2 linked regions of the Coturnix japonica genome follow. The protein of the gene in region 1 interacts with the protein of each later gene in a biochemical or structural test. Links are inferred from orthologs where the notes say so. Each region holds a gene or a part of one and is shown in the gene's direction. Other genes may lie near its edges.

Region 1 (15,272 bases):
GTCTTAATTGATGTTAGAAAAATTAAGTGACTGGAAATTAATTTTCAGATTTGAAAACATCTCAACGTATGTGTATATGTACTTTGTATTATCAGTTACTTATGGTGATAGATTGACAGTCAGTAAATGCTTCCAATATTGTATCTTATAAGATAGTAGGTAAGCTAATTTTTACAGCTTTGCTGTTTCTAAGGGCTAATGTGAGCATTGCAGATATGAGGTGTCTCAAATTACAGTGTGAAGATGATCTTTACTGTGTTTCACAGTAGGATTAAATATTGGTGTAGCAGTTTACTTATTACATTTAACTGGAAGTTGCTGTATTATTTGTTTCCTATGAGTTGGGAGATACTATGTACTCCACAGTAGACTACACTAAGAGCAAGAGAACTGCATCACAGTACTGTTTAATTACTTCTTTGTAATAAGTGTAGAAGTCGAAGCCTCATGACTTGTTAGATTAGAATTGTCCTTCAATTATATATATATATTATATATATAATATATATTATATATAATGCTTTATATTTTATATATAAAATAAATAATATATATATATATACACTATGTAGTATATATTTATTTTATTTTATTTTTTAACACCAAAAGGGGTTTTGTGATTATTTATTTTCTGCTTAACAGAATGACTTGAGTCTTACCTATTCCCCATTGTAATGGTACTGCACCTTGAAAGAACAGCTCTTACATGTCAGTCATTTTGTTGTTACAGGACTTTGACTCATGGTTTGATACGAACAACTGTCTAGGGGATCAAAAGTTGGTGGAACGTCTCCATATGGTAAGTCTTCATGCTTTCTGTGTGTTACATTTACCTAAGTTAGGTTGTAATTTTTCTAGTACTTCTTGTGATGAGATTATTAAGGTTATAAGAGCTTATTCCAGAAACTGTGTCACGTTTTCAGAAAAAACCAAAGGATGTCAGTTTGTTCAAAATAAGGTAGTTTTTCTGGGGGAGAGAGGAGAGTATATTCTTCTGGCTCTCAAGGTTCTGAAGATACTTGCATTTAAAATGTTAGCTTTCAAGGCACTGCAAAGATTTCAGCTAAGTGAGGTTTAAAACAAAATTACCTAAATGGTCAGAAGTGTTCTACTAAAAGATTGGGAAAACTTCATAATTCTTGTCCTGAAAGTCATGACCTAGAAGATTTGGAGTCTTCCTAGGAAAACTGATGTATGTTCCCATGTATAACAGCCCGCCTATGTTGAGAGCTTTTTCAGATGATCGGGCAATGGCACTGGCATTTGGGTACATAGAGGAGAAAATAACTGCAGTGCTGTTACTGATTGGTTCAATGTTCAGTTTCCAAACTACAGTTAATGATGCTTTCTTTTTCAGGTTTTACGACCATTCCTTTTACGTCGCATTAAAGCTGATGTAGAGAAAAGTTTACCTCCAAAGAAGGAAGTTAAAATTTACGTGGGTCTCAGCAAAATGCAACGAGAATGGTAATTCACATACTTGAGTGTGCTGTGGTTAAGGCTCAGAAGGAATGTGCTGATTGTGGCTCAGTTATTGTGTGGAACTCAATTCCTTCCACTATACTAGATTCTTCTTTCTCTTCTTATGACATTTATGCAGACAAAACTGTGCAGATAAGAGTGAGAAGAGTGAGCTACCCAATTAAATTAAAGGGGGTGAGCTTTTGAATATACCATGTTATTTCACTTTGCTTTATAGTTACTAAAGAGTTTTTTTTTTTCTTTCTTTCATATAGGTATACAAGAATCTTAATGAAGGATATAGATATTTTGAATTCTGCTGGAAAGCTGGACAAAATGAGACTGCTGAATATCCTGATGCAACTGCGAAAATGTTGCAACCATCCCTATCTCTTTGATGGAGCAGAACCTGGTCCACCTTACACAACAGATATGCATTTAGTCACCAACAGTGGCAAGATGGTAGTACTGGACAAATTACTACCAAAGCTGAAAGAGCAAGGTATGCATCACTTCGTTGTTTTTTAGGTGTTGTTCAGTTCAGGTATAAAAATGAAAATCAGAGTCTTCGTGTCTCCTGCACAAAAAGGAGCACGCTATGAAGGATTGTGGTTGATTTCTAAGCATTACACCAGCTTCTTGAGCACTGTATCTTAAATAATTGATAGTGTCTTCATAAATAACTGAGTTGACAGTCCATTACAGCTTTTTGTGGCTCTGAAGGAGGTTTTGGTATGTGTAAGTTTGTTTTCCAGGGAAGCTGAGGCCACAGAAGCATCAGTTGGTCTGGGCTTTAGGTTTGGTTTCTCAGTAACATTGGCTATGTGTAACATAAAGATGTGGTATATTAGCCACTGCTTTGGTTCACCATCGTGTACCATTTCATATTCCAAGTCTTCACGTTGGGTTAAAGTCATATCCTGTGTGCAGTGTTGTTCTTTCAGGATATGACTTTGTACGGCATATGAGTTTTTTCAATGGATTCCTCAAGACAAACATGGAGGAACACGTCAGCTATTTTGTTTTTTTTTTTAATTTTAATTTTTTAAGTTTTACCAGGGACAAAGCTATGGAGTATATTACTGTTAAGTCACCAAAGAAGCAGAGGAAAACTTGTGACTGGGGAGACATTGCTGAAAAACAGAAAATCCAAACCTCAGCCTTAGATAACATAAAAGTCATTTGTGTTTAGTATCCAACGAATATTCAGGTGGAAGATGCAGATCACCACAGCTGTGTCTCTGTCATCCTATTTAGATGTCATTTGAACAGTGAATATGCACTGTATTTAAAGAATAATTGTGTTTAAAGCATTGGGAATTCTTTGCAGTACTTGATAGCAACTTCTGCAGCTCTGCATTCTGTAATATACAGAAGGGTTTGAAGTCACACTGGATTGCTAATTCTTTCACGTTCTTATAGCTGCTCAGTAAAATAGCATATTTTCAACATATTCTATTTTATGTGTATGTATAGTACTGAAAACTTTTTAAATCAGACTTTTAATTATAACTACTGTTGTTCATGGTATATGCAACTGCTCTCCTTCCCTTTCTAATTTGGCAACTTGGAGTGTTTGATGAAGCTTAAGCTTTGGAGAAAACATAAAGGCTTTTTATCCCAAACAGGTTCACGAGTCTTAATCTTCAGCCAGATGACCAGAGTTCTGGATATCTTGGAAGATTATTGCATGTGGCGAAATTATGAATACTGTAGACTGGACGGACAAACGCCTCACGACGAAAGACAGGTATATAAGTATTTCTCTTACACAAAAACAGCATTTATAAAACATTTAGTGCAACTGATGATAATGTTCTCTTTATTCAGGCTTCTATTAATGCGTATAATGAACCTGGTAGCTCAAAATTTGTCTTCATGTTGAGTACACGGGCAGGAGGTCTTGGAATCAATTTGGCTACTGCTGATGTTGTAATTCTGTATGATTCAGACTGGAATCCACAAGTAGATCTTCAGGCTATGGTAAGAACCCAGATACAAATGTTCTTTTTTCCTCATGTAACTTTCTTATAAATGTGTGTGTTATACAGTGGTGGCATTTTTAAGGTTGAAGTGATCTTTCTCCTGTTTTAGCATAGAAGTAGTATTTTGAAGACTTAGTATTCAGTTCCAGTGCAGCTTAGTCACATTTGGGCTATGCAGTGATTCAAGTGGGGGGAAGGGCCATGATACTCCTAGTAGTGTTTAAAAGTAAAGTAAAAGAGGACTGCTTTCACTAAAAACTAAACTAATGGCATGTCTTAATTTCCCAACTATAAACCGTCCTTCTCTGAGGAGTCAAGTTCAATGTACTTTCACTGTCTCCACTGAAACCTTAGAAAAGAGGTGAATAAAAACCTGAATTAGAGTTTTCAGAAATTGCTTCTGGCTGCTAATAAACGTGCAAGCTCCTGTTGGCAACCAACTTTAATTTGCTGTAATTTTCTTTGAAGTAAATTTTTATGCATCTCCGGACATTGACAAAGAATGTTCATGATGGCTAAAGAAAGAAAGTTGGTATTTAAAACCTACAAATGTTAATTGGCAAATGAAGTCTTTCAGTGACGATTGTATGTTCTCAAGTGTTCTAGCAAAAATAGTTTAAGAGAATGATGAAAACAATGCCTGAAAGCCAAAGTGATGTAGTTCAAATTACCACTAAAGGTGTATGTTTGGAATACTAATTCTTGTAGTGGTTAATGATTTGCCAGTCAGGTGAGGTTGCATTGTATTTTTTTATTCAAATACTCATAGAAGGACTGAATGGTTTTTAGAAAGGTAGCTCTTGGTCAGTACAGAGACAATTGCTAAGGTACTCTGGTTTTACAGGAGGTTGCTTAATGCCAGAAATATCCAATCTTCCCCTTTGGTATTTAACCAAAAGAACCCCGGGCTATTTTGAGGAAAATTGTGTTTACAGACTTCGTTATTATTGGGATTACTTTAAAAAAGAAAGAAAGAAAAAAAACAACACCAACTTGAAATGCAAAGAACAGTGTTGTCCAACCAAATGAGAGAGACAAGAGTACCCAAAGTAAGAGTCGAACCAGGACAGTGCGAGGGAAAGTATGTGCTTTTCTCTGCGGTAAGCTGAGATGGCCAGAGGCAGAGAGTGGCTGGGCTCCGCTCTGGAGACCCAGAACATGAACTCTTTAGCTGCCACGGTTCTGCATGATGTTCTAATGTGGAATGCTGATACCAAAAATCACAGAACCACAACACATGCTATCTTGGGTACTCATGCTACTTGGACTGCTATAAAGCTGCAACTAGCCTACACTATTCTGTGTTACAAACTAGTATATTGAAACTAACTAAATTGATGGTAATTATATATTTGGGTTAAAGCATTAAGTTTTTGTTATGTTATTTTGTGTAGGATCGAGCTCACAGAATTGGTCAAACAAAGACCGTAAGAGTGTTCAGATTTATCACAGACAATACAGTGGAAGAAAGGATAGTGGAGCGTGCAGAGATGAAGCTCCGCCTTGATTCCATAGTCATTCAGCAAGGCAAGTATATGGGGGCAATTAGTTAAGTTTGTACACAGGATGAGTTTTTTGTTTTGTTTGTTTTCAACAATTAAAGAAGTGAAATCAAGTGAATGTTAATGGGAATGTTGCTTTTGCCCCAGCTGTACTCTGAAGATGGAGTGCAAAGACCTGATCCATTTGAAAACTTACAACAGGGGTAGGCTTCTCCTCATTAACTTTTTGATTACTTGCCCAGAAATAAAGTGGATATAGACAGATGTCATTTTTTTAAATTATTCTGTTTAAGAAAATTAGTGTTGAAATGGAAGAAGTAAGACCTTGGTTTTATTTAATATGCAGGGAGAAGTGGTGAGGATATAACCTCATACATAGGCTATAATGGAAAGATTATTCAACAAGGTTTTGTCTTGAAATTGTAAAAAAAAAAAAAAAAAAAAAAAGACAAAACACCATCAACCAAAAAAAAACCATGCACCAGAACAGCCAAAATGGTTCAAATGCAACTAATGTACTGTGAAACAAAATGTATGTCATTCCTGGGTAGATTTTGCTGGCTTTTTATTTATTTATTTATTTTTCCCACATGGAATTTCCCTGCATGAGATGCATTTTCAATTTAAGGCTAAGGGAAGGGGGAAGTCTTCTATTGTTCCTCCTTATGTTGTTACCTTCCAATGCTTTTCTCTTAGGAAGACTGGTGGATCAAAATTTGAATAAACTTGGGAAGGATGAAATGCTGCAGATGATCAGACATGGAGCGACACACGTGTTTGCCTCCAAGGAGAGTGAGATTACAGATGAAGATATAGATCACATTTTGGAAAGAGGTGCAAAAAAGGTGAGATAAATGAAGTATTAAAAGCAAAGAAAGGCACTTCCCTGTAAACTTAGATGTTAGGCATATATTGCTGGCTGACAGCTTTATTATAAGCTGGAGAAAAATATGGTTGTTCTTAGAAGTTTTATATTGGTTTTTTTTTTTTTTTTTTTTCCTACTGTTGCAACTGAGTTTTTGTAACTTTTTGAAAGCACTTTTCTAAATTGTTAATATTCTTTTCTCTCTCCCCTGCCCCCAGACTGCAGAAATGAATGAAAAACTCTCTAAGATGGGTGAAAGTTCACTCAGGAATTTCACAATGGATACAGAATCCAGCGTATATAATTTTGAAGGGGAGGACTACAGAGAAAAACAGAAGGTAACCTTCATGTTTCCTTCGGAGGAAAGCAGTGATCTGCAAGATTGTGCCATACTTTAAAATGTGTTGGTTAAAATACAAGAGAACTACATAAACAACTTTGAATTTAAATTATTTAATAAAGTAGATGTGCTCTTCATTTTATATAAAATTAATAGCTGGACTGAATATTATATAGGACTTAGTCTTGATAATTCTTGGGGGTAGTAGGATTTTATTTATTTATTACTATTATTATTATTTACAGATGGCATTTACAGAGTGGATTGAGCCCCCTAAACGAGAAAGGAAAGCCAATTATGCTGTGGACGCTTACTTTAGAGAGGCTCTGCGAGTCAGTGAGCCAAAAGCTCCCAAGGTGAGTTGACTAATATTAAAAATAAATTGATCAGATAGATGTGGGAAGTTAAAGCTGAAAGCAAGAAATTGGCCTTAATTTATTAATATCACTCTGTTTGCTTTCATAAATTGGGGTGGCACTTAGAGGGTTAAATTTTAGAAAAATTCAAAGGATTTGAGAATTTTATATGGGGAAAGAGCAAGAGAGTGATGAAACCTGTAATGTAAGAGTTCAGGAGGGTGAAGACTTGACTTTGCTTTTTAAGTGGCAGTTGTTTTTCTTTACCTATGGACTGTATGCTTATTTGGTGCACGTGTGAGTCTTTTTCCACCAATCTCTTCCCCTGTCTTCTCTTGTCACCTTTTTACTTGCAGAAGTCCTCATGTTGTAGTGGACACTTGCATGGTGTTTTAATGTGACCTTCGTATAAGTAAAGACAGTATGTTTTGGCAAAAATAAAGGGTTTTTTTGCTCACAAACTAAGCTCAAATTCTGGCTGTGAACAGGAGACAAATAGAGTCATTTTATGTATTTCAGGCACCACGGCCTCCAAAACAGCCAAATGTACAGGACTTTCAGTTCTTTCCTCCACGGCTCTTTGAACTACTGGAAAAAGAGATTCTCTACTACAGGAAAACAATTGGATACAAGGTAATAACATTCACTCCTTGCATCAATACATTAGTAGGGTTATACATACTTGTCCTGCCTTTCACATGAAGCTGAACAGATGATTAGGCTGTATTAACGGAGAGGCTGCTAGCGTCTGTGAAAAGTCATCAAATTTTACTAAATGTAAAACCTTTCAGGTACCTCGTAATCCTGATCTTCCAAATGCAGCCCAAGCGCAAAAGGAAGAGCAGCTTAAGATTGATGAGGCTGAACCTCTTAATGACGAAGAACTAGAAGAAAAAGAGAAGCTTCTAACCCAGGTATGGTTGTTTCTTTAATGACACTGACATCATCTAAAGCTTGATTTGTTTTACTGCTTTATATGAACATTTAAAAAAAATTCTGTTAAAACAAATGTGGAGATGGACAAATCCTGAACTTTGCAATGTTTGCTTTTAATTGCTGCAAAGGGATTTACCAACTGGAATAAGAGGGATTTTAACCAGTTCATCAAAGCTAATGAGAAGTGGGGCCGTGATGATATTGAAAATATAGCACGAGAAGTAGAAGGAAAAACCCCAGAGGAAGTAATTGAGTATTCAGGTAACTTATTTTTCAAGCGCAGTCTACTCTGTATCTAATGCTGCTTTCCTAGTTTAAAATGCCTGTGAACATGCTGACCACCTTACTTCTGGGGCTCTTTTAAGTCTCTCGCTGAATTGTACTGATGGAGTTGAGCTCTACTGATACAGATTTCAGCAGGTTTAGCCCCTGCATAGTTAAAGCTGTACTGAGACTTGCACACAAGCAGTTACTGACATCCTTTAATATATTCTAATTGGATAGCGCTGGTTGCAATTCTTACTAAGTTTTACAGAAGGCATTACTAAGCAAAAAGTGTTGTGGTGGAGAGATTTATTTTCACCAAACAATAGCAGTCTCAAATCATTATACCTTTAATATGAACATCCCATTGTTAAAGCATAAGAGCATGTAAATATTGTGACTGAATAACAACCACTGGTTTTGTGACTGAGGACCAGTTGGCCCCTTAGCCCTGGCCTGTCAGAGAAATGCCTTCTGTGGAGTGCAGCTGCAAGGTTCAGCAACTACTGGTATACTGCTGCTGGTGTACATTCTTTTGCACATCATAATGATGTGACATTCTTTTTTTTAAACAGCTACTTGACTTTTAGACACTTGTTCCTGTCTTTGGCTACTTACTTACACTGTCTCTCCATTTCCTTCCCTAAAGCTGTACTGCTATTTTGTCACTTCCAATTTTAAGACTTCTAAGACTTTTTTTTCTTGCTTTGAGAAGATTAGCTAACAAGATTAGACTTTTGGCCTATGTCACACCTCCTTTAAAATGGAGGTTCCTAAATCTACCGTCTTCAAATTAGTATTTGCAATACTGCAACACAATTTCAGGCACCGAAGTTAGCTATCAGGTAAAGGCACGACCTTTTTTATACAGCAGTGAGCTCTGGTAAAATGGAATAACATCTGCTGTCTATTAAGGCTAACACCTAATGCCATGAAAAGGATCTAACCAGTTTTTCTTCTCTTAGCTGTGTTCTGGGAAAGGTGCAACGAACTCCAAGACATAGAGAAGATCATGGCTCAGATAGAAAGAGGAGAAGCCAGAATTCAGAGACGAATCAGCATAAAAAAAGCACTTGACACAAAGGTATCTGTGCTGTATTTCTTGCTGCCCTTATTTCCATGTGCCAGTAAGGTGTGCTCTATCTCTACCCATGTTACCTATGTTATTAGGACTTTAAGATGACATTGTTGGGCACCATATTGCTGTCTTTCACATATTCCTCAGTGGTTGTTACCTTTTCCTTTTCTGTAGAAGCACAGTTCCTTTGCAGTTTCTACTTCTGAATTTAAATGCTTTAGGTGGGTTAAAAGTTCCTGTTTTGGCTGTTAGCTGTGATGATAACCTCAGGTTCAGCTGAGCCACATACCTTACTTTTCCTGTGATTTTGACCATCCTGATCAAAAAGAATCGCAGCCAGACTGGCAGATTTCGACAGTTTTCACATGTAGTGTCCGTTCTGCAGCATGCAGTTATCAAACAAACTTTTCTTAAACTGCTTGTTTAGATAATATTAATAAATTCAATGTCTAGAAAGTCTACGGTGTGGTGATGTTAGAAATCTAGTTTTCTAACATGGTACTGTTCATCTGCTGAAGAGTGAGGAAAACCCCAGAATAAAGGAAAAGGTAACACTTCGCTATAGAAAGGGAAAGGGGGACTTCACAGAAACCAAGACAAAGGGTAACTGCAGATAGTTTACATTAAAAGGGCAGAGTCAGGGGGAATTACAGACACTTAGTCTAAAGAAAACCAGGGAAGATGCCAATGTGTGAGGGCAGTAACAGCAAGAACAGCAAGAACAACAGATAACATCAAAGGTAAACAGAAGAAGAATTTCACCCAAACAACGGCAAAGGGAATGGGGTCACAGGGAATGTAATGAATATGTAACCAAACTGGGGAGGAGACTATTGATTATGTATTAGTTTGACCTATATCTGTAATGCGCTTTTCTCCTTACGGGGCGCAAGTTTGGAGTGTTAACCCCTTGCGCTAGGGCTGTGTGCACATCTCTTTATTAAACATACTTGCTTTATATCCTAACAGGCTATAGAGTTTGTTTCTGCAAATCATTGCCTGTCGTGATTATTTTGCTTTTATAGAAAACAATTCTATGCTAATTCTACACGATTTCTTAGTGTGTATATTTTACTTGTTTCACTTAGATTGGCAGATACAAAGCCCCTTTCCACCAGCTGAGAATATCGTATGGTACTAACAAAGGGAAGAATTACACTGAAGAGGAAGATCGCTTTTTAATCTGTATGCTTCACAAGCTTGGATTTGATAAAGAAAACGTCTATGATGAGTTAAGACAGTGTATCCGAAACTCCCCCCAGTTCAGATTTGACTGGTTTCTCAAGTCTAGAACTGCAATGGTATGTATTAATCTCATGTGCTTCTTCCCTGTGAACACCCGCACCAACACACCACAGTTATGCAGCAGGTGTGTGCATACATACAGTATAGTCAATTTTTATAGACTTTTCAATGATTTTAAGATGGTAAATGCAGTAATCTTACAACTCTCATGGGAGATGAAATTCACATTTCAAGTCACGGCTGTGTTTCACAATAAACATGAACTTGAATTAAAATAGATTTGATTTAAAAGCCAGCGTCAGTGATCAAACCCGTTCCCGTGAAGCCAGATAATGACTGTCATAAAGTATTTAATTCCTTTTTCTGCTCCCAAGGATTTGCATGAAATACAAACAACATACAATTTAGAGGTATTTGTAGTGTTCTGACATGATGCTGTTTACACTGAGTGGCTGTTTAAAGTAGTGAGTGACTGTATTGTGATTTAGGAGCTACAAAGGAGATGCAATACTTTAATCACCCTGATTGAAAGAGAGAACATGGAACTGGAAGAAAAGGAAAAGGCAGAAAAGAAGAAACGTGGACCAAAACCATCTTCGGTAAGATTTAATAAGATGCTGGTTTGCTTTTGGTTGTGCTTTATTTTTTGTGAACCACTTATTTGAAGACAGTTGGTTTTTCTAATTGTATGGGCAAAGTGATATCTAAAATTCCTTTAAAATAGCATCTAACAAAAAGCCTTATAGGGTAGTGCTAAGAGCTGCTTAAAGTTCACACGGTTACTCAGCTATTACCCTTAGTGGATGGGAAATAAAGTACAGGTTCTAAACTGCACCTGGAACAGCTAAGGTTGCCTTGTTTTTTGATGGCTGAGTTGGTAGACCGTATGAGTTTACCTTTATAAAATAAACTTGGGATTTATTTAGCCTTTCCATTAATTTTTACCCATAACAAAATAGATGTTTCCCAAAGCAGGATATGCAGGCAGGCGGTGCAAACCATTCAGTTCACTTTGAGAATGCTACAGGTGTGTTAACAAATTAGACATTAGAGCCTGCCTTCACTCTCTTTGTGTAGAGGCTCCAAGATCTAGATTTGGGAAATCAAGTGCATGTGCTTGATATAGTAAGTACTCCAAAGTACTGCTAAACACACAGGTCTTTTTTTGTAAAAGAAGTAATCACCTGTTTTCTTGCCTGGATTTTGTTGTTAAAATTGTTGCTTAAAATGGCCCATAGAAGTGGTGCCTAGAGCTATTATTCTATAAGTAAGGAAGCTTTATAACATCCTTACTTGTTTCTAAACATTTCTTTCCTCTATGAAATTATGCCCTTCTAGAACTGTTAGAATATAAGACAGCTGCTATCCGGAGTGGGATGTGTATGTCTGCCACATTGCATTTGTGATTTATCACATTTCTAAAGCTGCCCGGGTTAAACCACCTCCATCTGTTTTGGCTCAAAACGTGCTTATGGATCTTTTTCTGTCACATTAACTTACTCGAAAAACTTCCCTTCCAGGCACAGAAGCGCAAAATGGACGGCACTCCTGATGGTCGTGGAAGAAAAAAGAAGCTAAAGCTGTGAATGCGGAAATTTTATAATCACTAAATTTAAAAAGTAGTTCTTTAATTTACGGGTCTTCATAAGATGTACTGTATAATGCTCAACTATTATGTCATTAAAGGACATCGGGTTCATCTGTTTACTGAACTAGAAGCATAGTACTTAATGTAGTTTCACTTTTTTAAATGCGACAGCTGTGCTGACTTTTTTTTACCATTAACACTTGAAATAATAAATAGACTTCATTTATTAATAATGCTTTACTTGGCTATTTTTTCTTTTTTTCCTACCTCAGTACCTGTTATTTATTCGGTCACCTCAGAGTGGCAGGGTTTGTGCTTTTTGTTTAACATCTCACAGTGTTACAAACACTGAACAGGTAAGGTGGGTTCTTGGGTTTGGTTTGGTTTTTGCAGAGCCATCACCAATCAACCCCCCTTTTTGGAATTTCTGTGGCTTTGATTTTAACATTATTGAACCTAATTTATGCACAAGTATACTCTGTACTTTGACATTAGAGGTAATGCCAGGCATTTCACTTGAGAATGAATGAACAGCAAGACAGGAACAAAATCACACTGACTTTTTGCTTACCATTGGTAACAGCGTAAAAGTAAGTGACACTGAAGCTTGTTCTTCCTTAGATGGCAGAAATACATACTTGGTGATAAGATTAATTTTTAACACAGCTTTCTGAAGTAGGTCAGGTAAACTGTGTTCTAAAAGAGCCTGTTTCTTTCTGGTGGAAATGTAGAAAGGTGACTGCAACTACCCAACGCTCTGGTCTTAATGCCTATCTTCACATACCAGAACCTTGAATTTGTGCAGGAAGAGGGGGAGGCAGCCTGACAACACTCTCCCACTCTCTGGGCTGTTCTTGGGCACACTGCTAACATGTTCACCGTGCTGAAGCTGAAGAAGTCACTGAGGTTCTGAACTGGATCCACCATCGCTCAGCCACCGATTTCAGATTCCAGCAAACCAGATTGATACACTTTACGTATTTTCAGTCAATCTGAAATTACTAAAGCCAGTTATTACCTAAGTTGAAGTGTATTTTCCTTTGCACTTCCTGATAGCCATGTTCCAGGACTGTTACAACTAATTTATCGTGGGCTTCAGTACTTCTTACCTATTAATATTTGCACTGACACAGTTCTCACAGTGCAGCTCTAAGTAAGCTTTTTCGGACACTAGAGGGCAACCCACATTCACGTATAAGAAACTACCCACTGATAGCCTACCGGCAGGCTAAACAAAGCTCTTAGTGGAACTGACTTGAGGAATAAAACTCTATAATCCAGAGATGGGTTATAAAGCAGGTATGTTTATTCCAGCGCCGGGTGCAAGGGGGATAGCTCCACCAAACTTGCACCCCGACTTGTAAAATCGTGACACAGATATAGGTACATCTAATACATAGTCAATGATTTCTCGGAATTCTGATACATATTCAATAGTTCTTTAGCATGCAGACCCCCTCTTGTTTTTATCAGGGGGATGCTACTCCTGGTATTTACAATATCTACTCTCCTCCTTGCCTGATGTCTTCCGTGAGGTCTCACTCCTTATCTGCATCCTTCCTGCTCTCCCAGGCCCCTTGTTTCCTTTACTTGTTTTCCTAACTAACTAAATCATTTTTCTATAAACTACCTTTAACTATCCTCCTTTTAGCCCCCCTTTATTCCGAATTCCAGCAGAGCATCTGTTTCCTGATTCACTGTTCATTTGAATTGAAAAAAGGTGATGAAAACCTGCATCTGTAGTGAAGGGTGAAAAGGGCCCCATAATAAAAGAAAGGGAACACTTTGCTACAGAAAGGGGAAGGGACCTCACAGAAACCAAGACAAAGGGTAGTTGCAGATAGTTTGTGTTAAGGGGGGCAGAGAAAAGGGGAATTGCAGACACTAAGTCTGGGAAAACAAGGGGAAGAAGGCCATAAAGATAGGAGTGTGAGAGCAGCCCGAAGGCAGCCTGCAGAAAGGTGATTAGATACTCACAGGGCAAGATGACACTGATGTGGGGGTGCTCCTCCTGCAAGGACAAAGGCTGATAAAAACAAGAGCTCTCACAGCAGCAGGAGGGGAATCTTCATCCCAAAGCGAGGACGGAGAGAGAGACCCCATTCACCAATGGGGTCGCGGGGAATGTAATGAATATGTAACCAAACACGGGGTGGGGGGAGACTACTGATTATGTATTAGTTCGGCCTATATCTGTAACACACTTTGTCTTTACGGTGCGCGAGTTTGGAGTGTTAACCCCTTGCGCCAGGGCTGTGTGCGCGTCTCTTTATGAAATCATACCGGCCCTGTATCCTAGCAGGCTATAGTTTGATTCCGCAAGTCAATTTGGCACCCCAGATGGGACCTCCTCTGTTCGGCTGCAGGACCAGCTGAGAAGGGGGACGCCTTTGGCGCGCCCCGAGATTTCTCGGAAGGACTCCCCTTCCTCATCCGATCTCTGCAGGAACAGACAAGGACCATCCATCAGCGGACCAGGTATGTGAAACGGGGAACCCGTAAGTCGTGAGGAGACGTCCTGCGCAGGGGGTGAAGGAGCATGTAAGCTCCCCCCGGGAAACGTGAGCTCATGGCTTTGGTTGCCAGCTGGGGTAGGAAGACTCCTTGGGTGAGTTCCTACAAAGGGGCCAGTAAGTTGTATGCGTGGATGGGCATTTTACTGAAGGGTAGTTTGGGTAATCCTTGCTGGGATAACTAGTATTGCACGTTGTGTTGTATGTGGTTCTGCAATCTGTTGTAGGTTACCAGTACTGTGATTTGAGTCAACAGCTAACACTGTTATTCTTGAAATTCTGGTTAAGCTCAACAAACGCTATATACCCCGGTTCTGTTCGAAATGTCAGTGAGTGTGGTGTGAGTGAGACACAGAACAGCTGCGGGGCGAGTGCGGAGTCCCGACCCACGGTTCCATCCTCCCACGAGGGAAACTGCTGGGGACGGACATAGCAAAAGCCATATACGTTGTTTTTCAGTGTGTGTTTGCTCTTGTCTTGTTGCCATTGTAAAGTACATAATCATAAGGTGCATACAGGGGGTGGGAAAAGGTAAACCGCAACTAAAGTCGGGGTAGTGCTACCTCTATTGTAAGATAGTACTGTGGTCTAAGTGTGATAAAGTTTCATCAGATTTGATAGATTGAGTTAAGATGGGGGGATCACAGGGAAAAGAGGTCCCTGAGCGCACACCCCTGGGTTGTATACTGGCACACTGGCGAGATATTGCTGGGAAATCAAGAGGAACCCTGAGCCGGAAAACTCTGATTAAATACTGTAATCAGTGGTGGTTGGTGTATAAGTTGGAGGATGGGGAAAAGTGGCCTCTGAATGGAACTGTAAATTATAACACACTGTTACAGCTTATGCTCTTTTTGAGAAGAGAGAGTAAATGGGATGAGGCAGCATATGCAGATATGTTTTTCACCCTCCGTAACCATCCCGAGTGGCAGAAAGAATGTGGGATGGGGCCGCCGCAAGATCCATTTGTATTAACTGTGGAGAAAGAGCGGTGTGAGACAGGGGAAAGTAAAATAAAACGCTGCTGCTCATCCTGTAGTATCGGACAGCAGTGCACAAAGACAGGCAAGGTTAGGGAGCCTGAAGAATTGTCGGAATATCTCCAGGCTCCCTGGGCAGCGGGGGCGATAGGTGAAGAA
Region 2 (16,689 bases), on another chromosome or scaffold:
TACTGCAAGCGCAAGGAAATTGAGTGTGATTTCTCAACTCCTGCCCAGCAAGAGTGTCCAACTATGCGGGAACACCACTGCCACATCGTGTGCTGACAGCTTTATGAGCTCTGCCCAAAAGTTCAAGACATTTCAGCTATAAAAAACAGCAGAATAATGCCTGTCACTCTTCATCTCAGCAGCAGAGCAGTTCATGCGTGATGCATGTTTATTACGGATCATAATGTAAAAGCAAACACATCATCTCAGCTTCCAGAGGGTGCCCCAGGACAACAACAACTGTTTCCCCACTGCTCTGTGGGAGCTGGGGGATGAGCCGTAGCCATCCCTGCTCCATTGTACTCACAAGACAAAGTGCTCGTGGAAGACTGGGTTTTTGCTGTCTGGCACAGTCTTTGTTTTCTGTCTGCACTTCCAGTCGGCATCTGGCACAATTGACATCTGCATGGGGAAGCAAGCAGCTCATCAGCCATCTCAAAGTAACACTCAGCACCAGTACAGGAGAGCAGCACAGCCACTGTTACAGGTGGCTGAGCCTCAAAGGTCTGGCTGAGCCCATGCTCACAGGTAGCTTAGATCACTTTACATTATGTATGTCAAACAGCCACGTTACAAAACTCCTTAGAGGGTGGTGGAAGGAAAAAAGCACAATATCAGGGACTGGTGCATGAAAATGGTGCTGGTCAGTCTCTGACTTGCAGCCTGTTCGCTGAGGAGATGCTCGTTGCACTGCACACACCACAGGACAGCCAGGGCACTGCTCCTTTGGTTGCCCAGTGGGCTGCTCTCACCCCTGAATGCCTCTCATAGCCCATCTCAGCAGTTCTCCTTTGCTCTTCTGGCTCTGTGCAGGCATCATATCAACAAAGCCATCATCCCAGCCATGAGACCAGCAACCTCCCCACATGCTGCTCAGCCAGGGTAGGGTAGAGGAGCCCAAGAAGGAAACAGAAGGGATCATGCTTAGAAGAGTCAACACCAAAGCCCCAACAGAGCAGGAAGAACCCACCTTCACATAGGAGTTGCACGGCCGGTGCTCTGTCCCCATCAGACCTTTTGCTTCCATGACTAGAAAGGAAACAAAGCAGTCAGGCCCCAGAGCGTCAGCAAAGCAACTCTGCACCTCCCTCCCTGCAGGACCCCGCACACCTCCCTAGAAGCTCAGCCTTAAACAGGGGAGGGGTTCTGCCATATTTTGTCTTTACAACAACCCTGTTACAAATTCTGGAATTTGTGGGTGAGGTTGGCAGCAGATGCAATGCAGCGCTCAGATGGCAAACAGCATTTCATCTGCTTGACTTGCCTCTGCACTGTGCTCTCAGCCCTGGAGCCAAATGTATCATCAAGTAAAATATCCACGGCCACATCCTGATAGCAGCCCCGCTAACAGGGTCCCAGCTTCGTCCCAGTGCTAACAACAGGGGACACTGTGCTTCCTAAGTGGGAGCTGGAGGCAATATCTGTTTTGCAGAGCCCAGATAATGCAGGACGGGCTGCCAGAGTGAGACCGAGTTCACTCCTAACATGTAGAGAAAGGCAGCAGTGCCTCTGCCTTTGTCAGAGCAGGATGCATGGCCATAACAAGGGAGGTCACCCTGACAGAAACTGTGGTGCACGAGATAGGGCCTCTACAGCACTAAACCAAAGCACTGCTCTACTGATGGAGCTGCTCCCAACAGCCACCACAATGCTGTCCCCTGGATCTGGAGGAGGGAATGGCAGTGCTGTACATATGGAATGTGCCCATGGCTCTGGGGCCACCTCTCCACACACCGTAGGGCAATCAATGCTCACCATGCAGCATCAGGGAGCGGTCCCGCATCTCGATAGACAGCTTCAGCTGACCTGGGAGAAAAGAGAGGAGAGAGAATGAGGAGGTAGGACCCTCATGCTGTCACCAGTGTTCACAGCACCAGACCAGAGCTCTGCGGGGTTCAGACCAGGGTGATGTGGCTCAACCTGAGCATCCTGCTGGGAACCGCTCCCAGGATGAGCCCCACAGGCAGATCCAGACTCACACTTGTGTGCCTAGGACAGCATCAGCTGAAACCCTGGGGGACCCACACTGGCCTCTGAATCCAGACAGCTTCCTGCAGAGACAAGATGGGCGCATTCTTTCCAAAATACACACAGAGGAGCATCCCAAAGACACAGGTACAGCACCCACAGCTGAACACCACATCACCCACTGCCCACCGTGCACACAGATGATGGCAGAGCCAAGAATAAAACCCAGTTCTTACATGTCTATAAACCCAACCTGAAGCTTCTGCTGCCTTTCAAAACTCCCATGTCAGAACCCCAGGCTCCCACTGCTTATCTGGAGCTGCAATTTGTGATTGTTGGCACTGCCCAGACCTGTCTGCAGGCAGCTGATTCCCAGCATTGAACTCCAAGCAGTCACAGAGTATGGGGTTGAGGCTTTGCCATGCCAGCAAAGTGATTCTCCCATTCCCATGCATGAGCAACTCCACATTAACCCTGAAATCCAGCTCCAGTGCTCGGACTGGCACAAAATCTCACACAATGAGGTGTGGAATGTGAGATTCCCAATGAACAACACCCCAGGGAGCTGCTGCCAGCCTGGATGTGATGTGCAGAGTTTAGGGGGTCTCACATTCACATAATTGTTCCGAATCAACTCAAAACCAAAAGTCAAACAGATGGAAAATATCACTGGCAAAACATCTTCTTCAGTCCAAAGCAAAACAGCCCATTTACACTCTTTTCCTGGCATTCAAAGAAACAACAAACTAACTGGTAAACATCACTCATGCACATATAAACATCATTTCAATTACAAAACAGCATTTCATTCGGTCATAGACGCACCCAAGATCTTGCTTTTGCAGGGGTGGGGATATCTCAAGGGTTTAACCTGAAACAATTCACTGAACTCACACCTCACCTTCTACTCAACAAAAACCACCATTGACAGAACACTGTCAGATCTCTCTCCAACTCATGTGCTTGAGTGCTCAGCCATGTGCACTTGTGTACATACACATGTGAATCTAAGGCAAGAAAGACAATTCAGGCCTTCCTCCAGGTGGGTAAATGGATGCATCTTTTTAATCTCACACCAATTTATGACACTGAGAATCTCGAGCCACCAAAGCCTTCAGAGCCAAGACTGAACCCTCTGCAATCTGCAGGTCTCTGGCCCCGTGGGAACCAACTTGCTGCTCCTCTATTAGCATTTAACAGTCACTACAGCACAAAATGCCCATCTAACCAAGCATGACCAGGAGTCAGCCCGGTAATGAATGGATGCTGGGGAGGAGAAAGGAAGCCTTTGTGCCTTGTAGTGCGTGGGGAGGGGGGGCAGCTCGTATGCCCAGCGACATCTCCCCACGGATGGTGGGCCCGTGAAAACAAGTGGGCTGCCAAGACTATAGGATATCCCAAATTGAAAGGGATCCATATAAGGATCACCCAAGCTCATGGCTTACCGAAGGTGGTGAGGCAGAAGGAAGCTCCCAGGGGCTCAGCCCGGCGGGTGCAGAGCGAGACCCTGTGCACATTGCCGGGCTCCATGGCAGGACAGCTCTAATTAGCAGCAATTGCAGCCCTCCCCGTCAGGACAAGGGAAGCTGAATGAATTGCAGCCCGGACGGACGGGCTGCTCAGCAGTGGCGTTTCCAAGGGACACGCTTCAACCGCTGCGTTTGCACAGCGCGGCTCCCATTGGATCCCAGGATTTGAATGGAGGCCGCACCTGTCTGAGCAAACAGGGCCCAGCCCGCAGCGCACCCAGCAGTGCAGCAGTGCACCCAGCAGAGCACCCAGCAGTGCAGCAGTGCAGCCAGCAGTGCAGCCAGAAGTGCACCCAGCAGAACAGCCAGCAGAGCACCCAGCAGTGCATCCAGCAGTGCACCCAGCAGAACAGCCAGCAGAGCACCCAGCAGTGCATCCAGCAGTGCACCCAGCAGTGCAGCAGTGCATCCAGCAGTGCACCCAGCAGAGCACCCAGCAGTGCACCCAGCAGTGCAGCCAGCAGTGCACCCAGCAGAGCACCCAGCAGTGCACCCAGCAGAGCACCCAGCAGTGCACCCAGCAGTGCAGCCAGCAGTGCAGCCAGCAGAGCACCCAGCAGCTCCAGGCGCTGTGCTGCAGCTCACCAGTCACAGAAAGTGAGAAAAAAATACAAAGCAACTGCAAGAATCATCTTTCTATCAACACACACTGACTGCAAAGTGCCCCAGAGACATTTCCAGCAGCACAGAACAGCACACATGTACACGTGTCCCTGTCTTGTGCTCCCTTTCAATGTTTGGCCACTTTTATCAGCTCAGAAGTGACCAAAAAAGACAAGCTGGTCAGGGCCAAGCCCACCTGCTGTTCCCTTTGTCCCATCCCTTACCTTTCCCCTTCACTCGTGCAGGACTGATCTTCCTCCTCCTGCCCAGCATTGCTCCCTGGCTCTGGCAGCAGGCTCGCACTGCCCTGCATTGCACCTCTGGCAGCCCCCACATCCGAGGGCTGTGATTCAGCTGCTTGGTACTACTGTAAAATAAGGGGAGAAAAAGGAGTGGAAATGTCCGAAGAAAGCAGGGCTTCAGCACTTGGAAGTCAAGAATGTGCACGGGGAAAAGGTGGGAGCTGTGATGAATGCTGTGGCTCCGCTCCCTACAGGCTCCCAAAGGCACTTTAGCAGCTCCTTCCCTCCTAACATTCAAACCCCTGGAGTCTGACCTTCACCTGCTTTTCTACCAGAGTTTCCAGCAAACTGCACACTCAGCTGCTTGGCTTGGGGAGTTAATGGCTTTCTTTTAAAGTTTAACACTGTTCTCCGTCACAGATTTCAGTTTGCCAGCACCGGGCTCTGCCTTTGGCTGGGTATTCAAATCCAAACACGTGCTTAGACAGCTTTGAGAGGCTAAAGGGTACCACAGGCACACAGAAAACCTCCAAGGTTACAGCTGGCTTTGAAAATCAAGCAGCTAAATCACATTGGGGAGAACTACCCGCCTCCCCAGGCAACAGATTTTTAGGAACAGAAAGGCTGTTTCTGGGATTAGCAGAGTCTGCCATTAAGGGCAGACACAAAACCTCAGCACTTCTCAGCAATGGGATTGTTTAGGGCCTATGTCTGAAACCCTTCTGCAGGGGCGTCACATGGAGCAAAGCATTAAGTTGAACAGGCTTAAAAAGTTATCACCCGTCACATGAGCTGAGCTGTGTGCGGACTGAAACCATGCTCACACCGAATGGCTGAGCTGACCCCATGCAACTGGGCATCACTTTCTGCTGCCACACCAGTTTGGCCCTGGAAAAATAGGTCTATCTGAGCTGCAACGCAAACAGAAGCGAGATTCATAGCGAAACAAATGCAGGCAAACAGTCTGAAAGGCAAATCAGAGGTTACCCTACAGGTTTCCTTTTCAAAAGTAAAGTGAATTAACGTTCCAAAGTGAATTAACAAAGTTAGCATTAACGTAATAATTGGTGCACACAGCTGAAAATAGCTCCTTAACCTGAACACGTAATTTGTCCAAGTGTCTTTCTTTGGGCAGACAGGGACATGTACTCAATCAGTAGAATTTTTGGATGGCAGTTTTTTGTAGTCAAACCTACTGAATTAGTTTATGGTGAAAGAGGATCCGAGAGAGATCTTAAAGACAGAACAACTGAATTGTTAGACCTTCATCAGAGATAATTTAACCTCACCAGACTTGAGGTCAGGAGACAATTGGGCAAGAGACATCTGCATGCTGTGTGCTGAGCTGGGAACCAGGCTCCTTGCAGTGGCTATTTGTTCTCTAGGGGGATGTATCTTTGGGGGGAAAGGGACTATTCCAGACATTAGAATTAAGTTTCAGGATAAAAACTTAATAATACTTAACAATTTAGAAGATACCATTTGAGGGGGAGGGAAATAAAAGCAATGCTATCTTATTTTCTTCCAAAAATACAAAACAAAGAAATAAAGCACACAGAGCAGCCAGGAACAGTCTCTAAAACAAACCTAAGCCAGTGAAAACACGCTCCTGTGACAACATCCCGCATCACTGAAGTGACTCTGATTCGAGCTGTGTCCTGCTTTCAGCTCTGTGAACATTCACACTCTTCCTGTTTTTCAAGCCAGCACTAATAAAGCCAACAGGACCTGCCCTCGACTCTGGCACTGAGCACCTTGCAGACCTCCCTGACTTGTGCTCACTCATAACTTGCTCTGAGAAGTGGTTTACGGTGGACCCTGGTAGAACTGATGTGGAAGAAGAGGTGTGAATGGGCTCACAAGCCTGCAAGGGCTGAGAATACAGCTTGGCATTACTCCCTGGCCTTTATTTGGGAGCAGAGGAGCTTTGTCTGTCCCTGGCTCTGGACCAACATCATCTCTGCTTCTATTCCAGCCCACCCCCACTGCACAATAACACAAGTTTGCCTTGCTTTGTTCTTAGGTTATGCATATAGGAAATAACCTCGCCTTCTGGCAAAACAGAGATCAACTTCTGATGGCTTTGCTAACAGCGAGCCGCCAGCTGGTCCAGAAGCGGGCATTAGCAGCGTGTGTTACAGTTACAAATGGACCAGCTACAATCGGTCATTATTTCATTAAAAAGTAATGCAACACCTGCTACAGCACTTCACCCCTGAGAGCCGCCGAATGACCCTGCAGAAGAATTGTTAACAGAAGAATACATTGAAGAGTTAGAAACGAGATTTGAGAGCGGTTTGTGTGCGCAACGATAGGCTTTGATTAACACAATTACTGTAAGTGGGAAAGCAATCAGCGCTGTCACGCACACAGTCCTTCCTCCAGCTCTGACCTTTGTGTGTCCGTAATGCTGTGCAGCACCACAACACGTTACTGTGTCCAATACGAGCTGTAAGTCCAGCTATTAATACATCTCACAACTGCTGTGCATCATCCCCAATGCTGCTCCTGCTGCTGGAAAATGCATGTAGGAAAGCCTGCACTGCCAGATCCTGCTCCCAACCTGAAGTTAGCTTAAAAAGTTAAAAGTTAGCTTAAAAACCTGAAGTTGGGAGCAGGATCTGGCAGTGCAGGCTTTCCTACATGCATTTTCCAGCAGCGGGAGCAACCAACCCAGCACAGCACTGGGTCAACCTTCTTCTTTAGCAATAGGGATTAGTGACCAATCTATTGGTTCAGCAAAAGGAATCCATGGGCTGGAAACGTTCAGCTTTAGTGAGGCTGAGCTTATCAAGGCTTTATGAGCAATGGGGGTCTCCTGAGCTGGGGGCAGTGGATGGCAGCGGGTCAGAGCCCTCAATGGTGGGCACTGGGAGCACTGAGCACACAAAGGGCCATCAATCAGCTCATGTTTATGGGAGAAAGATGGATGTGGATGCTGATGTACTGCGTGGTGTGTCCTGTCAAGTCACATTCTATGTGTGGTGAGGAATAACGGAGTGCTGCTTTGTTCCACCACATCACAGTTCGTTTTCTTTCCAGAGGCCGAATGAGCCATATTGGCCCCCCGCCGCCATATTGTTCCCCCCCCCAACGGCGGCCGCGGGGCAGGGCGGGAAGGAGCGGTGCATTGTGGGCCGTGGCGGCGCGGGAGGCCCAATATGGCGGAGAGACCGGAGGACCTGAACCTGCCCAACGCCGTCATCACCCGCATCATCAAGGAGGCGGTGGGTGCGGGACGGGCTGCGGGGCTGGGCCATACGGAGACCTCGCTGTCCCTCATAGATCCTCGTTGTGGGGTTGTGCTGCTCGTAATGCCTTACCTGAGGGCCGTGCTGAGCTCAGTGCCACAGCAGAACCGATATGTGCTCGGAGCAGCAGCTGACAGGCCTGGGTTTGGTTTCCAGCATCAGTTCACGGGTCTTTATTTGCTTTAAAGCATCAGTTCACAGCTCTTTATTTGCTTCCCAGCAGCGATTAACGGGTCTTTATTTGCTTCCCAGCTGCCCGACGGGGTGAACATCTCCAAAGAAGCCCGCAGTGCGATATCCCGAGCAGCGAGTGTGTTCGTGCTCTATGCGACCTCATGGTAAGAGCTTGTTGTGTGTATAAGCTGCTGTTAGTAACTCAGATCTCTGCTGGTTGGGCTGGGGCTCGTTGCTGGGTGTGCATCCATCGTGTATTTTTGTGGCCCCCCTCTGGACACGTTTAGAACTGTAATAAAGAAGAGTGAATGATGGCAGTTATCCATTAACTCTTCTTGTTTTTGAGCAGTGCGAATAACTTTGCCATGAAGGGGAAGAGGAAGACGCTGAATGCTGGCGATGTGCTCTCTGCCATGGAGGAAATGGAGTTCCAGCGGTTTATTGCTCCTCTGAAGGAATCCCTGGAAGGTATCGGCCTGTGACCCTATGGACGGAGCTGCCATAGCACCAAGTTCTGTTTGCTTACATCAGACAAGCAGCACTTAATTGTCTGTCCTGTAAAAACAAGACTTTGCAAAAAAGCAAGAGTTTGCAAATACTTCTTTGCTTGGCATCTTACACTGCAGCTTGTGTGGATGTTAATAATGTGCACCTTAACAGCTGGGATAACATTTCACCACTGATGAGAACTGAGAAAGTCTTATCTGCTATCAGTCCCCTCTTAGGTCTGTGTAAGGGAAGTCGTAGGTGTTGCCTGCACATGTGAAATCCTGTGTCCTATTCAGCATTTATCTGCTGAAACTTCACCTGATTTCTCACGGGCTGGACAGCACAGCTCTAATAATAGGGGGAGCTGCTGCTGTGAGTTCATTAAGTGGACACTGGGCCCCAGCTGCTGTAGTGCTCACGTGGTGGAAACACCGGCTTGCAGGTTTTCACTCTTCTTTTTCTTTGTAGTTTACAGACGTGAACAGAAGGGAAAGAAAGAAGCGAGAAAAGATAAAGACAAGAAGGCAGACTCAGAGGAACAAGATAAGAGCCGAGAAGATGATAATGATGATGATGATGAAAGGATGGAGGAAGAAGAGCAAAATGATGAGGAAGAGGTGGACAACTGAGCTTGCCAATGGGACATTCAGGGTTGGGTTTTGTTACTAGGGATATAAATGTTGTAAAGAAATCTGGCCATGTCCCGTCTGGTTTCCAGTAGAGCTCTGTACTGTTCTTCTGGAATCTCTCTTTGGCTTTAGCCTGTACACAAAGGACTTGGCTAAAGCATTTCTCATGGGTGCCTCACCTCCCTGCACGCAGGGGACTTGGCAGCTTCCCCAGGTGCTGAACAGACAGTAATGGGTCTGGTATTTTTATGCTGGATTGACTCTGAAACAAAGGGAAAAAAGAGCAATGTCGGATGGCTCAGCACTGAAGTGACCTGGAGAACCTGAAAGAGCTTATGAATAAGCTCACTCAACCAAGCGGAGAGCTGAATCCTGGCTCATTAACCCCTCAGGGTTTAGAGTCTACGTGATGATGTTGAGAGCCTTAGAAGCTGACTGTTCAAGCTCTAAGTGATGTTTTTCCCTTCGTTGTCTTGCATTCTGGCTGTGCCTTCTCTCCCCTGCTCTTTCACAGTGATGCTCTTTCAGCCTCACCAGCTGGATGCAGCACACAGTACGAGGGTCAGTGAGCTGAATTCCTCCCCTCCATGAACCAGAATAATAACAAAAAAAGACTTGAAGGTGCTTCCAAAGTGAATCTATACCAGAAATGCTGTTTTGTGTCTTTCAAGCCCTTGGAGACAAAGAGGGAACTTTGATGAACGACCTTAAGCAAAGCTACCTGCAAAATTATGTCCGAGGAACAGCAAAAGGCTGCAGCAAGTGTGTGTTGTGCTGCAGCTGATGGTCTCAGCTCCTTCCCCTCCTCTGTGGAGCTGCAGCTCCTGCAGACAGGCTGCTGGGTGCTGCTGGGTGCTGCATTACTGGTTTCCTTCTATGTCTGGGGGCTTTATTCCATGTTATTGAGCTTTCTGGTACCTGTTGGGGTGTATCCCGTCCCGGACCAGGATTTAAATAAAAGTTCAGATTCTTTACGGGTCTTGACTGGTTGATTTCCATGGTTAATCCATGAGCTGTTCGTGGTGTGAGTGCGTTGCGGTTCAGGTCACACAGCGCCCACGAGCCAAATTCCCGCCACCGGGAGCGCGCCAAGACAAGCGCGCGCCAGCCCTTTCCCGCGCTCCGCCGCGCGAGACTTGTGATATGCAAATCAGGGGGGCGGGGCTATGCAAATCTGGCTGTGTGCTGCGGCGGGAAGCGGCGGCAGGTGAGCGCGGGGTCGCGGGTCTGAGCGCGGTTCGGCCGGTGCTGCGGGGTTATTGCGGGGAGTCGGGCGACACCGCACCGAGAGCGGCCCGCAGTGCCCGGATCGGCACGGAGCGTTACGGGGCCGGGAGGTGTCCATAGGGCCCGGCCCGTTGTGGCGGTGCTGCTCGGCCCCGGGGGCTCCGTCACCCACGGGCTCGGCGCAACCGCAGCGCCGCCGGGCGGGGGAGACGGTCGGGCGGGTGTCGGGGTGTGCGGGGCCCAGGGCGGCATCAAGGACGGACAGACCTTGGATAGAGCCGGGTTGTGCCCTTGGGACCGGGCGGGCACCGGGGGTTCGGTAACGGCGTGTGGCTGTGACGGGCCGGGGGGAGCTGAGGGAAAGATGTGTCTGGTTTGAGGTCCGAAGGGAAGAACACGTGGGGAAGGCACCGAGCAGAGAGTGCTGCCAACTGCTGTCACTGCATGTGTGAGCACAGCGCTTCCACATCCTATCTGCAAGATAAAACCCTTCTGAACACGTTGCCCTTTGTTGCTGACTGCTAATTAACCCGCCCTCATTAGTGTAGCTCCGTTGTGTCTCCTGGGAGCTCAGCTTTGTGCTTCAGCTGTGGGCGATGCCCCCCATTCCCTCCTTGCTGCCCTTAGAGCAGTGGCAGCATGGAGCAGCTTCCCCTATGGGGGCCCAGGGGCGGGGGTCCCCCAGCAGCGCTGTTATCTCCTCTGGACAAGCCGTCCCCGCTCCTGCAGTGCAGGCTGGGGCTGGTATCTGCCCCTGACAGCGCAGTGGGAGCTGCTGCCTCTGCTCCCAGCCATCCCCCTCCGTGGGATCAGAGCCTGGAGCATGTTCTGGACTCTCGAGGTGTCTGTGCTCACTGAGCCCTTTGTTCTGCTGCCTGGAGCTGCGCCCGGGCACTGCCGGCCTCCCAAGGGCTCTGCTGTGTGGGCATGGAGCGGGTCTGGGCCAGGACACAGCCTGTGTGTTCCACACTGTGAGCATCATCATGGTGCTTTATGGTCCTTTTATGTCATTGTGTAAGTAAGGGAGAGGTTGCTCCATCCCCAAGCCAGGGATGCACACAGCTTGGTTCAAGTGGGAGAGTCTGGTGCAGCTGAACAACTTGGCTCCGTGTTGGGATATTTGAAGGGTCTTTGAGCTTCTCCCAGTGTAACACATAGGAACGCCTCCAATTAACGTTTCCCGGAGGAATGGAGCCATGTCCTGCCCAGCTCTGCTGCTGAGCGTTGTGGTGAGGGCAAAGGGAGCGTGGTTTGGGTGAGCCAGGGCTTTGCTGTTGTGAAATGTACATGTAAATTGCCCAGTCACAAGACTATTAGTGAGGTGTGGAAGAAGAAAATACTGTTACGGGCACGTCCTGTGGCTGCGCAGGGCGGTGTGCAGCCTGCAGCTGATGTTAGCAGAGCAGGAATGGCATTTACTGGGTTATGGGGCGGAAGCTCCTGCTTCATCCCTGCAGCCTGGGAAGCAAATGCTCTGGGGAATGCAGTGCAGCTCCCAGCCGTCCAAGCAGAGCAGCATGTGGGGCCATCACGTTCTTTTTTCCCCATCTCACAGTCACCAGTTGAGCAGCAGCTGCGATTCCCAGTGAGCAGGGCTCGTTTCCTGTTCATCTCAGGCTGGTAACCTCCAGGGCAAGGATTTGATCTAGACATAAAGCAATAAAAGTCCTTCAGTGGCAGCCAGCCCCTGACCTCCTGCTTTTGTTCCTTCTGTTTCAGGGTCTCTCTTCACCACCTCCCTGTGCATTCCCAGGATGCAGGCAGATTCACTCCTTCACAGTGGCTATTTCCACCCCGTGCTGCGCTCGTGGCAGTGCACAGCCACCACCTTCAATGCCTCCAACCTTATCTACCCCATCTTTGTCACGTGAGTGAGCCCTGGTGCTCTGGACTGGGGACAGACCAAGCTGGGGTTGGCTGGGCATAACACTACAGGACAAGTGTGGGGCAGGGGCTGTGCTCTGGGCCCTGCCCATCTCCCTTCTGACACCAAGTGCTCACATCTCTGTCCCATCTGCCCTCTGCAGTGACAGCCCTGATGCGGTGGAGCCCATTGCCAGCCTCCCTGGACAAGCCAGGTAAGGGCCAGAGCCACCAGGAGCTGCTTTGCAGCCAGAGATGTGCACAAGACAGGGACAACACTCCTGTATTGTTGTACATAATCCCTGCCCTGGGGATCCCCCCAGCATCAAGCAGGGTGGAAACATCCCTCTGCTCAAAGCAGGAAGGAGGACAAAATGGGGGAGCTGGGTGGTGCCAGGGTTCCATTGGGCACACAGAGAAGCTGGAAGAGAACAGGGAGGCCAACAGCAACTGCATGTGGACTCCTGTCCTGCATTCAGCCTTGCATGCTACGTTTGCAAGGTTTGGACAGAGGCCAGAGTGGGATGTTCCCAGGGGCAGGGTGTGCTGGGCAGGTTTTCCACGTCAGCCATTGCTGTTGGGCAGTGGGAGGTGGGTCAGTGTGAGAAGGGCTCCTGGAGCTTGGTGAAGGCACACAGGACTTTGTTGCTCCCAGCTCCTGATCTGCTGGTCCTGGGCACTCAGCCATGGTTGTGCAAGCAGAGTGAATAAAGCAGAGCCTGCACTCTGTGCTGTGCCAGGCATGGTGTCCAGCACCCTGCGTGCTCTACTGAGCCCAGGCCTGGCATGCTGAGGGCTGTAATGGGAAAGCTGAGATAAAGGATCCAAGGGCAGGGCACGCTCATCCTTTCAGAGCAGAGACAGCGTAAGGCTCCCTGCTCTGTCCCTGCCTGTAGATAACTGTGCTGTTGCCCCAGATAAGGGTCTGGATTGTTCCTTCCAGCAGCACCTCCCCTGTATCTCCCACTGCTGCTTGGTGTGCGCCAGCATCCAACTTAATCATTAACTCGGGTCCATCCCTGAGTGTCCCAGCAGGCAGGGCCTGGCCAGCACTGGTGCACTGCTCAGGTCAGAGGGCTGCGTGCTGGCACTGCGTGTACTCATGGTATATTTGCTGGATCACAAAGTTGCTGGTCTCAAAGCAGAACAGACTGAGGGTACTCAAGTTGTTGCTTTATGCTGCTGAGCATCCCTGCCCCTGTACAGCCCCCTCTGCCTTGTGGCAGTGATGCAGGGTGTCCAGGTCAGCCTTAATCATGGCTCCTGTCCAGTTCATCCCCCAGGGCAGGTCTGGGTGCCTGGCAGCACACCTTCACTTTGGTTTTCTCAGGTATGGAGTCAACAAGCTGGAGGGGATGCTGCAGCCCCTTGTTGAGGATGGTCTGAAGTGTGTGCTCATCTTCGGGGTGCCCAGCAAGGTCCCCAAGGTCAGTGTGCATGAGCAGGTGGTGGCAGGGGTCTGCAGAGCTGTGGGGGATCACTGTGGGGCTGGAGGGTCTCCCAGTGAAACAGGGGCAGTTTGGGGTTGTGGCAGCCCATTCCGCAGAGCAGGATGTAGATGGGAAACCACAGCAACACCCAGAATGATCCCAATAGGTTTGGGTGCCTCTGCTATATTTCTCTGTGTGAGTGGTGAGATGAGAGCAGAGAGCTCTGCGTTTCATAGAGCAGCATGGAAGCTTGAGAAGTGCTGCTCCTCCTGACCCAGTCTTGCGCTGGGAGCCATTGCAGAGAGGCCCCAAGATCTGCACTCATTTCAGTGTCACTGCTCTGTCACCCTTTTCCACCACTGGTGATCACACCTCACTGCAGTGTGACAGTGTGTTCAGGAACACTCCCTGTGTTGACCTGTGGCCATGGAGGAGCTGGTGGGAGGCCCTCAGCTCTGTGTGCTCAGACATGTTTCTTCTTGCAGGACGAAAGAGGCTCTGCTGCAGATGCAGAAGACACACCTGCCATCCAGGCCATCAGGAAGATCTCTGCCACGTTCCCACAGCTGCTCATTGCCTGTGATGTCTGCTTGTGTCCTTACACCTCCCACGGGCACTGCGGTGAGCACGTATGGGGGGCTGGGGTGCTGTTCAGGCACCTTCCTCTTACCTGGAGCACCTGAGGGTTTCTGCTTTCTCATGTGGATTTCTGGGTGCTGGTGGGGCCTGGCCAGCACCTGCCTCAAGACTTCCCAGCACTGTGTTGAGCTTGGATCCCCCGTCACTGTCATCCTTTTCCTGGAGCACTCACATGTCAAGTCCCATCTGTGGGCACTGCATTGTTAGTCTCCTGCTCAGCCCCTCTTTATCCAGCTCTAACACCTTCCCCACTGTTGCTCTGAGCATCTCTATAGCTTGTTAAAGAACTCCAAGGATCAGGGCCATCATCTCACTGTTCTGCTTCTTGCCTGACGCACTTTTTCTTCCAGGCATCCTGCGGGAAGATGGCACCATCCAGAATGAGGCCAGTTGCCAGCGGCTAGCAGAAGTGGCACTGGCTTATGCCCAAGCAGGTGAGCAATGCCTCGCAGCAGCAGCCACACAAGGCTCTTGTCACTTATAGCCAGCCCAAAAGCAAATACCTGGCTTCAATGGGAGGGCTTCCACTGATCTGGGGAAGCATCCACCTGCCAACCCTGGAGGAGCTACGGAGACTCTGGACACCTTCAACAGTACGAGGGAGATGCCCAGGGTCAGCTCCTCCTGCAGGCAGTTACAGCCTTGAGCTTGTTATCTCCGCAGGCTGCCACATCGTTGCCCCCTCGGATATGATGGATGGGCGCATTGCAGCCATAAAGAAGGCTTTGATCTCCAACGACATGGGAAACAAGGTGAGAATGTAATGACAGAATATAAACCAACTGTAGGAGGGGATTCCTACCACCCTCGAGCTATGATGCAGCAGAGAGCTCCAGCCCTCACAGCCCCGCTCTCATCTGCAGGTCTCAGTGATGAGCTACAGTGCCAAGTTTGCATCGTGCTTCTATGGACCCTTCAGGTGAGGTTCTACAGGGATGGGAACAGCCCACGTTTGCAGGAGCAGCAAGGAGGGAGGGAGCCAGCGCTGCAGCAGAGTGTATTTGGGGATGAACCTTGGCTCCTGAGTCAGATGTGGAGGAAGGGGGAGCAGCTGTGGCCGCTGTCCTGGCCTGGTTTCACACTGACGGCCCTGATTCCTGTGCCCTGCTTGTTCCCAGGGATGCTGCACAATCCAAACCTGCCTTTGGAGATCGTCGCTGTTACCAGCTGCCCCCGGGTGCCCGCGGGCTGGCACTGCGAGCTGTGGTGAGTCCAGCCAGGCCCTGTGGTTTGTGGGGACCAGACAAGTCATCCAGCCAAGATGGCCAAGGGTCCTTGCCCTGTGCAAGGCAGAACATCAACGACCATCAGCTCACCAGAGCCTGAAAAACGTGTACAAGGAGGGCACTCCTCACTGTGACTTGGAGTGTGGGGAGAAGGGGTGAGGTGCCAGGCTGGGCTGTGGGCTTCTGTAGCTGGTGGGGGCCTTTCTGTGTTCTGTTCTGGGTTGGGAATTGTGAGGAATCATCCATGAGCCTTTGGGATCATTGAGCGCATCCTCCCTGCAGGACCGGGATGTGCGTGAGGGCGCAGACGTGCTGATGGTGAAGCCCGGGATGCCGTACCTGGACCTGGTGCGGGATGTCAAGGAGCGGGTGAGGCCCCGAGGGGAGCGTGGGCAGGGGGCGGCCGGGCAGCGCTGCGACCGGTGTGTGTGAGCAGGGGGGGCGCACAGCCGCAGTCCCGCTGTGTCCCGCTGTGTCCCGGTGCTGACCCGCCGTTCCCCGCAGCACCCCACGCACCCTGTGGCCGTGTACCACGTCTCGGGGGAGTTCGCCATGCTGTGGCACGGGGCGCAGGCGGGAGCCTTCAGCCTGAGGGCTGCCGTCATGGAGGCCATGGCCGCGTTCCGCCGGGCAGGTGAGAAGGGGACGGAACGGGGCCGGGCCGCCTCGAGCCGCCCCCGGACTCACCCCGCTGTGTCCCCGCAGGGGCGGACACCGTCATCACGTACTTCACGCCGCAGCTGCTGCGTTGGCTGCGGGAGGAGGCGGCGGCGGGGCGGGACTGAGCGGGGGAGGAGCCGGAAGCACCGGGGGGAGCGGATCTGCTCGGCCCGTCCCGTCCCGGAGCTCGGCCCGGCCGGACCGTTCCCGTCCGCCCCCCGTTCCCCGCTCAGCTCCGGCCCCACATCGGGCTGATGCCCCCCAGGTGCCGGTGTCCGGTGCTGGCTCGTTCCCGTGTTCGCTGTCGGTCCCTTTCACCCCGCCCGCCCTTAGCGATGCTCGGGCTGCGGCTCCTGACGTGGGACGTGAAGGACACGCTGCTGCGGCTCCGGCGGCCGGTGGCGCTGAGTTACGCGGCCGAGGCGCGGTGTCACGGCGTGGAGCTGCGGCCCGACGCGCTGAGCTGCTCGTTCCGCGCCGCCTACACGGCGCACAGCCGGCAATACCCCAACTACGGGCTGGGCCAGGGGCTGAGCTCCAGGCAGTGGTGGCTGCACGTCGTTAAAGAAACGTTCCGGCTCGTCGGGGTGCGCGAGGAAACGCTGCTGGCACAGATGGCGGAGAACCTGTACCGGGATTATTGCAGCCCGAACAACTGGGAGCTGCTGCCGGGAGCCGCCCACACCCTGAGCCGGTGCCGGCAGCTCGGGCTGCGCATGG

Evidence for each region.
Region 2: the proteins of SMARCA5 (region 1) and POLE3 form a complex in vitro, tested with the Homo sapiens proteins (2 studies listed by BioGRID). The link is inferred for Coturnix japonica from reciprocal best matches to the Homo sapiens genes SMARCA5 and POLE3.

What each region holds. Positions count from the first base shown.
Region 1 is NC_029519.1:26,881,778-26,897,049, forward strand, and holds the end of SMARCA5 (SWI/SNF-related matrix-associated actin-dependent regulator of chromatin subfamily A member 5), read left to right. Parts: intron 1-730; coding exon 731-799; intron 800-1,357; coding exon 1,358-1,467; intron 1,468-1,736; coding exon 1,737-1,963; intron 1,964-3,089; coding exon 3,090-3,211; intron 3,212-3,291; coding exon 3,292-3,444; intron 3,445-4,840; coding exon 4,841-4,973; intron 4,974-5,644; coding exon 5,645-5,793; intron 5,794-6,031; coding exon 6,032-6,151; intron 6,152-6,398; coding exon 6,399-6,509; intron 6,510-7,028; coding exon 7,029-7,142; intron 7,143-7,300; coding exon 7,301-7,423; intron 7,424-7,573; coding exon 7,574-7,706; intron 7,707-8,674; coding exon 8,675-8,793; intron 8,794-9,875; coding exon 9,876-10,088; intron 10,089-10,520; coding exon 10,521-10,631; intron 10,632-11,552; coding exon 11,553-11,618; 3' UTR 11,619-11,853; downstream 11,854-15,272. Other genes in the region: NCR3LG1 (natural cytotoxicity triggering receptor 3 ligand 1), read left to right, coding at 14,766-15,272. UniProt on the Homo sapiens protein: ATPase that possesses intrinsic ATP-dependent nucleosome-remodeling activity.
Region 2 is NC_029532.1:783,129-799,817, forward strand, and holds POLE3 (DNA polymerase epsilon subunit 3), read left to right. Parts: upstream 1-7,472; 5' UTR 7,473-7,542; coding exon 7,543-7,608; intron 7,609-7,683; exon of another isoform or gene 7,684-7,744; coding exon of another isoform or gene 7,745-7,801; exon of another isoform or gene 7,802-7,818; intron 7,819-7,884; coding exon 7,885-7,970; intron 7,971-8,155; coding exon 8,156-8,274; intron 8,275-8,763; coding exon 8,764-8,924; 3' UTR 8,925-9,901; downstream 9,902-16,689. Other genes in the region: RGS3 (regulator of G-protein signaling 3), read right to left, coding at 347-441, 1,010-1,068, 1,795-1,845, 4,364-4,475; ALAD (delta-aminolevulinic acid dehydratase), read left to right, coding at 10,068-10,131, 11,871-12,018, 12,179-12,229, 13,345-13,441, 13,930-14,065, 14,434-14,517, 14,747-14,835, 14,947-15,002 and 4 more; HDHD3 (haloacid dehalogenase-like hydrolase domain-containing protein 3), read left to right, coding at 16,224-16,689. UniProt on the Homo sapiens protein: Accessory component of the DNA polymerase epsilon complex. Participates in DNA repair and in chromosomal DNA replication.